Linked DNA regions of Macaca mulatta. The protein of the gene in region 1 interacts with the protein of each later gene in a biochemical or structural test. Links are inferred from orthologs where the notes say so. Each region holds a gene or a part of one and is shown in the gene's direction. Other genes may lie near its edges.

Region 1 (4,301 bases):
GCAATAGTGTCAGCACACTCCATTACTCTCCAGTTATCTTTTAAGAGAAAATAAAAGGCTTCAAATCACCTGTACGAGATCTAAGAGTGCTCTGGCGGAGTCATACCTCTGCAAGGTTAGAGATGTCAAAGGGAGTCCTGGTCTAGCGAGAAAAGGGAGAGTGACACAAAGTACAGGTGCTTGGGTCGGGCGCGGTGGCGCACTCCTGTGATCCTAGCACTTTGGGAGGTCGAAGTGGGAGGATCGCTTGAGCCGAGGAGTTCGAGACCAGCCTGGGAAACAGAGTGAGACCTTGTCTCTATTTAAAACAAAAAAAAATCGGCTCTAGCCTGTAATTCCAGCACTTTGGGAGGCCGAGGCAGGCGGATCACCTGAGGTCAGGAGTTCGAGACCGGCCTGGCCAACATGGTAAAAACCCGTTTCTACTAAAAATACAAAAGAGCCGGGCGTGGTGGCGGACACCTGTAATCCCAGCTACTAGGGAGGCTGAGGCAGGAGAATCGCTTGGACCCGGGAGGTGGAGGTTGCAGTGAGCCGAAATCGCGCCAGTGCACTCCAGCCTGGGCAACAAGAGCGAAACTCCGTCTCAAAAAAACACCCCAAAAAGAATGCTTCACAAAAATTAAAGAAATACAGCGACTGCAGATGGGTCGGTTTCACTATAGCACAAGTAGCGGAAAGAGGACACAGACTGGGGAGAAATCACCCTACACAAGATGACAACTGAGGAATGAGAAGTGGGGACTGACACACGCCACGGTGAAACCGCGCACCACGACCAAAGGCGGTCCTAGGACTGCGACTAAGCGGGCGCAGAGGCCACCCTCCAGGCTTGGCGGGGGGATGAGGGCAGCACTGGGGGCCTGCTCAGTCTGGCCTTAGGGAGGACCTTCGGGGCTCTCCTCTCTCCCCATCGATCCCTGAGCAGTTCCCGAACAGAAATCGGAGACCAGACGGTGCCTGGGCCCCAGCCCTCCCACGCGGACTGCGCCTTGGGCCTGGCTCGGAGGTGGGTCAGAGTCTGCGAAAGACCAGCGAGGGCTCTCAGGTTTCGGGGCAGGCGGCGGGCGCCCACCCCGGCTAGCAATGGGAGTCGCGCGGCGACCGGGCGAGCCCGGTAGGCAGGACAGGACTGCGGCGCAGGTCCGACTCAGGCGGAGGAAGCAGCCGCCGCCCCAGCTGATGGAGTGCGGCCGGGGGCTTCCCAGAGGAGGCGGCGACCTCGAGCCCTTTCGAACGTTTCTACCAGGCTAGCTCACGTAGCCTCGGCCCCGCCCGGCCCCGCCCCGCCCCACCCACTCCGGCCACCGCCCCCTCCCCGGCCGACACTTCGCGGGTGGGGCGACTTGCGATAGCCCCTTTAAGAGGCGTGGTCACGTGCTCCGCCCCCACCTCCCCCACGCGCGCCAGTAAGGGGTGGGGTGCGGGAGGAGGTGCCGGGGAGGCTGGGGGAACGAGGTGTGCGCTGCTGCGCAGGCGCGGTGGTCGGACGACAGACCGTGTGTTTCCAAAATGGCGGCAGCGATGGATGTGGATACCCCGAGCGGCACCAACAGCGGCGCGGGCAAGAAGCGCTTTGAAGTGAAAAAGGTTGGGTCTCGCCAGCGCCTTCCTCAGGGAAGCTAGAGAGGCGCGGATCTGGCTGGCAGGCCCGAGGATGGTCGAGGCGCGGAGTAAAGGGTTTCATTTTAGGGCGTTCCTGGGACCGGGTACCACGAAAGGAAGTCGGGGGGCGGGCCTTAGAGTTGATCGGCGTGACGGCGGCCCACTGTCAGGGGAAGTGTTGGTTTCGATGTGAGGCTGAGGGGCCAATCACAGAGCTGCTTGTTGAGATACGCGGGGTTGCGACTTGGCGGCGGGAGCCAAGCGCCTGAGCTGTCACTGGAGTGGTTGAGAGGTGGGGGAAGGTAGGGTGGGGTGAGGTAGGGTGGGGTGGGGTGGGGTGGGGTGGGTGGAATGGGGAGTCAGAGCGACTGCGGCGGTGGAGGATGGGGCAGTGCGGCGAAAGCCTGGAACCTGAGGTCCTACCGCATTGGAGGCCTCTGAGGAGCCCCGCTAGTGATCTTGCTCCGCCCCTTTTTGAAGCTTGCTTGGGGTCCTCTCACTTGAAGGGATCAGACTTGTTCCTCGCTGAACCGAGGCCTCCATTAACCCCATCTCTGGGCCTCACACCGCCGAGTTAGAGTCTGGAGTGTAATGCTTGGGTGTTCTGAGACGTCTGTTGGCTTTTCCCACAACCACCCCACTCTTGGATTCTCTGTCACGTTCAGAATCTCCCCCTTCCGAAATAATAATAAAAAGCACGGTGGAACTTGTTAAGAAAATCCGAGCCCAAATCCTGTGGCATTTCGGAAGGGTTGAGTACTAGTTGCGAATGACTTGGTAAGAGGGGAAAGCAAAAATGGAACGTGTCTTTTGCATGAAATGCATTTTAGTGGTTTGCCACAGTTTGGGAGAAAAGTGTCGATTCCCACCTAACATGAAAACTATTCGAAATGGAGATTCTGAAATAGGGAAGATATTCCTGGAACATCTGGCTAAACACTGACAATATCCCCCCCCTCCTAGTGCTTTTTGGTGTCTCATTGTGGCCACTGCTGCTCAGTTACAGCCAGCCATATTGAAGAATAATAGAAGTAGGGGCTTTTCCTCCAAGTTGAAGCTGTGATGTGAAAAGTGGTGAAGAAGTTACTAGGCACTGAGACTGGGGTTTGAAAGCGATGAAGGTTTGGGAGTACTTGTAATTGAGGAAACCAGAGTTGAATGAATGAAATGCCACTTTTAATTAAACTCTTACTGGAATTATTATCTTTTTTTTTTTTTTTTTTTTTTTTTTGAGACGGAGTCTAGCTCTGTTTCCCAGGCTGGAGTGCAGTGGCCGGATCTCAGCTCACTGCAAGCCCCACCTCCCGGGTTCACGCCATTCTCCTGCCTCAGCCTCCCGAGTAGCTGGGAGTACAGGCGCCCGCCACCTCGCCCGGCTAATTTTTTTTGTATTTTAGTAGAGACGGGGTTTCACCGTGTTAGCCAGGATGGTCTCGATCTCCTGAACTCGTGATCCGCCCGTCTCGGCCTCCCAAAGTGCTGGGATTACAGGCTTGAGCCACCGCGCCCGGCCTGGAATTATTATCTTAATAGAAGAGTCTAAACATATAAAAGTTCAGAACATCAGTTTATTTTATGGTAAGAATCGAACAAAATTCTAGTGAATTGTAGAATTTGTTATGAAGTAATCTAAGATTTAAGTGATGACCTTGTTCTGTGTACTGACATGGGCAGTTAATTATCCAGCTTATCCCACGATTACCTGTTTTATGATCCAGTCATCATCTTAGTTCATTCTGTTCCCTAGCTTTCACTTCATTGCTCATGCTTCCAAAGCTGCCTGGAAGAGCAGATACTTATTCAGATTTTGAGCGCTTCTGCAACTGCCACCAAAACCTGCACAGAAATTCAAGTTTGTGCTTTTTTTTTTTTTTTTTTTTTTAGATGGAGTCTCACTCCATCGCCCAGGCTGGAGTGCAGTGGCACGATCTCGGCTCACTGCAACCTCTGTCCCCCAGATTCAAGCGATTCTCCTGCCTTAGCTTCCCAAATAGCTGGCATTATAGACACCCGCCACCAAGCCTGGCTAATTTTTGTATTTTTAGTAAAGACGGGGTTTCGCCATATTGGCCAGGCTGGTCTCGAACTCCTGACTTCAGGTGATCCACCCGCCTCAGCCTTCCAAAATGCTAGGATTATGGGCGTGAGCCACTGCGTCCGGCCAGACTAAATTGTTTTAAACTACAGGAAACAAAAGATGACATTCATTTATGTCTTCATATACTCAGTCTTTTGGAGAATAGGAGAACGTATGTGTTGTCTACTGTTGTCTTTGGTATAATAAGATTAACATAATATCCAAAACCTTTTGTTTGGTGGTTCCTTGTGGCCAGAGATCATAACTACAACTGCAGCCTGAAGTCCTAAAAACTGTGTGTGTGTTATAAGGAGAATGCATTGTTCCCTCTTTTTGTCTTTGCAGTGGAATGCAGTAGCCCTCTGGGCCTGGGATATTGTGGTTGATAACTGTGCCATCTGCAGGAACCACATTATGGATCTTTGTAAGTAATTGGAGGAGGATGGGAGGAAGTTGAGAAGGTTGCAGAGCTTGTGGCTATCTTGATGTGACCGATTTTCTTCTTCACAAGCAGATATCAAGCCTACTCTGAGCACTCGGTCTTCTGTATCTAGTCTTTTGGTGTGTTTGAAATAGAGTAGTTTTTTTATGATGTCCTGGAGGCATACCCAGCTTTCAG
Region 2 (3,644 bases), on another chromosome or scaffold:
CAGTCATGCTCTCAGGGTAGAGCCCCAATAAGAATTCTAAATACGGAGGCTCCAGTGAGCATCCCTGATTGGGTACTCTGTGTGTGTTGCCGTACAGCAATGCCAGGAGAGTAACACATCCCGACTCCACGGAGAGAGAAGAATGGAAGCTCTGCGTTTGGACCCTCCTGATGTTAACTTATGCTGTTTCCCTGGGATAACCGGCAATCTTGAGCACACCCGCTTTCAGTGAGCTCTGGGAGTCCTAGGCAGTTACCGCATCTTGGGTGGTTTGGGGAACCCCAGTCTTGCAGTTGGTGTCAGAAGTGAGTGCATCTCGTGTGGACAGTGCCCTGTAATTTAGCAGTGCATTTTCAGTAGAATAGACATGTTTCTTGGGGGGTCTCTTACATGCCCATCTCTCTTTTGTCTTGTAGTGTTCCACTGGCAGGCCACCATCATGGGCCCGGTAGGTAGTAGCTGCTGAGCACACCACTCCAGTTTTGCTTCTTGCACTTTGGGCTTAGCACATGCACTGATCTCTTCCTGTGTCTCATCATTCCAGAATGACAGTCCTTACCAAGGAGGTGTTTTCTTCCTGACCATCCACTTTCCTACGGATTACCCGTTCAAGCCCCCAAAGGTGAGGTGCCCCTCACAACTCCCCTGATGTTTGAATGAAGGACAGCATGTGACGAGGGGCCCTTCAAGTCAGGTATAGGTAAAAAGAGCTGTACATGGGGCTTCTCTGAGGGCCCACCGCTCCACCCTGTGGTGACAGCCTCCCAGGACTTTAACCACTGGACTTTGGGAATTAGCACCTGTTGTGACCAAGGGTCAGTGGGGTGAGCTGGTGCTGGCCTCCTTACTGAGGCCACAGTTTGAATGCTTTTCCTTGTGACTGTAGCTGAGTCTGGTCATGTCTCCAGGCTCTGGCTCCCTTCTCTGCAGTCCCTTAGAGTTAGGACAGGGGTTCTCTGCTGGGGTGATTTTGCTATTGCCCCAGGGACATTTGGGCAACATCTTGGGATATTTTGGGTTATCAAAACTGTGGTGAGGGGGTACTGCTGGTATCTAGTGGGCAAAGGCCAGGGTATCCCAGGGATTCCCTACAGTGCCTAGAACAGCCTCCCTTCCCGTGACAGAGAATGATCAGCCCCAAGTGTCAATAGTGCCAAGGTGGACACACCCTGGTTTAGGACTGGTGAGTCACACCTTCACTTTCCTTTATTAAGTTAAAAGAATAGCAAACCTCCTTTGCCCTTTATGCACACACCATCCCATCAGTGGAGTTTTAGAGAGCAGTGCCACCAGAGGGAAGGAGAAGCCCAGGGAGCTGCCTCAACCACCCTGCCCTAGCATGTATTATGCACTGCAGGTCGTCTCATCCCCTGGACCCTTGCACCTCATACTCCTTCTTACCTGGGCTCTGCATGGGTAGCTGAGCCTGCTCTGAGGCTCACAGTCCTGTGGAGGAGGCAGGGCATTTAGCGTGTGAGCCAGTCAGCACTGTCAGCACTGGGGAGGAGCACAAGCAGTGGTTGGCAGCAGGAGCTGGGGTGGTGGGGAGATAGCCCTGAGAAGGGGGAACTGCAGAAGCTCAGCAAGGGGGCAGACGGGTCCCCAGGAAACTGCCCCAGGGGAGTGAGCGTGTGAGGAGTTGGGAAGGAGGCCAGAGAGGTACGGATGGCCCCAGGAGTAGGGTCTGCACGCCATTGTGGGGATTGCCACACCAAAACGATCACTCTGCTGCCTTGTGGAGGAGGCTGGGTTCAAGCGATTCTCCTGCCTCAGCCTCCTGAGTAGCTGGGACTACAGGTACTTGCCATCACACGTGGCTAATTTTTGTATTATTTTTAGTAGAGACAGGGTTTCACAATGTTGGCCAGGCTGGTCTCGAACTCCTGGCCTCTGGTGATCCACTTGCTTCCACCTCCCAAAGTGCTGGGATTCCAAGTGTGAGCCACCACGCCTGGCCAGGTTGTGCATTTTGGCAAGACTTACTCAAAAGTCCTGCATCTGCATCAGACACCTTAGCCGAGGGGTTGTGACATTGCTGTGTCTTACTACCTTGACTTGGCCTTGATGACTCAGTTTGAGTCAGAGGCTTAGCTGCTGTTTTGCGTGTTGTTTATCTGAGTCAGTGTGAAGAAGCCACTTCTGTGCTCGCCAGCTGCAGCTCTGTCCAGACATCACCACCAGAGGCTACGTGGTGCCTGAGCATTTTAAATCCTGGTTAAATATGCTTAGGATCCCAGAGACCTTTTAAACTTTTGGCAAGGGAGTGGGGTGTGCTGCGCAGGGCAATGACAGATGCTAAAATAGCTTTGCCACATTAGAGTACAACTGCTGTTCAAGGGGGTTTGGTTGAAAAATCATAAACATGCTTCACGGTGCTCTGATCCACCCCTTCTCCCTTACCCTCTGGAGAGACTGTGGCAGTGTCTATCAAGTAGTAATTTTCTAGCTTATCTCTTTCATTACTGTGTGAGCAGCTGAGGATTTTCCTTAAACAGATATGGATGTAGTCCTGAATGTCTGTTGGGCATTTTCAGGGTACCTAATTGCCCAAGGACAAAGGAGAAACAGTGATTATTATTATTTCTAAATTATTATTATTATTTTTTGAGACAGTTTTTCTCTTGTCACCCAGGATAGAGTGCAGTAGCATGATCTCGGCTCACTGCAAGCTCCTCCTCTCGGGTTCAAGTGATTCTCCTGCCTCAGCCTCCCAAGTAGCTGGGATTACAGGCACCCGCCACCATGCCTGGCTAATTTTTTGTGTTGTTAGTAGAGATGGGGTTTTGCCATGTTGGGCAGAATGGTCTTGAACTCCTGACCTCAGGTGATCCGTCCGCCTTGGTCTCTCAAAGTGCTGGGATTACAGGTGTGAGCCACTGCGCCCAGCCAACAGTGGTTATTATTAAAAGACTAAGAAGTAAGCTCTGTGGGTGAGTTGGGATTATTTTAGCAAGGAGAGATGTGAGCTAAAAGGTGACAGTGACATTCTATGAGGGAAGAAAGTGCTTCTGTCTTTCAAAAACCTCCTTCTACAGGGAACAGGAGCAACTGGATTTATGTTTTGGCACAAATTTTCTGACAATAGGAGGAATCTGGCAAGATTGCATGGTCTTTATTGGAGATATTGAGGCAGATACTTAATATCTGAGATGATTTTGAAGTTTGACCCTTTCTGGGAAAAATTATATGGTAATAGATATTCGAGCTCACATGCACATAACTCTCTTCTCATATTCCAAAGTAAGTTTAAAAAATATTAAAAACTATATCAAACATGCAAAAAATGGTAGATAATTATATAAAGGATGTTTGTGCATCTCCATCTAGCCTAAGAAGTACCAGTGAGTTCTCAGAGCTAGCGAAGGAGGCAAAATCCTTTTTTTTGTTTTTTTTCGAGATGGCGTCTTGCTCTGTGACGCAGGGTGGTGTGCAGTGGTGCAATCTCAGCTCACTGCAACCTCTGCCTCCCGGATTCAAGCTATTCTCCTGCCTCAGCTTCCCAAGTAGCTGGGATTACAGGCATGTGCCACCACACCTGGCTAATTTTTTTGTATTTTTAGGTAGAGATGAGGTTTCTCCATATTGGCCAGGCTGGTCTCGAACTCCTGACCTTGTGATCCACCCACCTCGACCTCCCAAAGTGC

Evidence for each region. The genes of interacting proteins can lie anywhere in the genome.
Region 2: the proteins of RBX1 (region 1) and UBE2D4 form a complex in vitro, tested with the Homo sapiens proteins (2 studies listed by BioGRID). The link is inferred for Macaca mulatta from reciprocal best matches to the Homo sapiens genes RBX1 and UBE2D4.

The regions. Positions count from the first base shown.
Region 1 is NC_133415.1:10,578,615-10,582,915, reverse strand, and holds the start of RBX1 (E3 ubiquitin-protein ligase RBX1), read left to right. Parts: upstream 1-1,491; 5' UTR 1,492-1,512; coding exon 1,513-1,590; intron 1,591-4,027; coding exon 4,028-4,106; intron 4,107-4,301. UniProt on the Homo sapiens protein: E3 ubiquitin ligase component of multiple cullin-RING-based E3 ubiquitin-protein ligase (CRLs) complexes which mediate the ubiquitination and subsequent proteasomal degradation of target proteins, including proteins involved in cell cycle progression, signal transduction, transcription and transcription-coupled nucleotide excision repair.
Region 2 is NC_133408.1:84,416,747-84,420,390, reverse strand, and holds part of UBE2D4 (ubiquitin-conjugating enzyme E2 D4), read left to right. Parts: intron 1-97; exon of another isoform or gene 98-227; coding exon of another isoform or gene 228-228; intron 229-416; coding exon 417-448; intron 449-544; coding exon 545-622; intron 623-3,644. UniProt on the Homo sapiens protein: Accepts ubiquitin from the E1 complex and catalyzes its covalent attachment to other proteins. In vitro able to promote polyubiquitination using all 7 ubiquitin Lys residues, but may prefer 'Lys-11' and 'Lys-48'-linked polyubiquitination.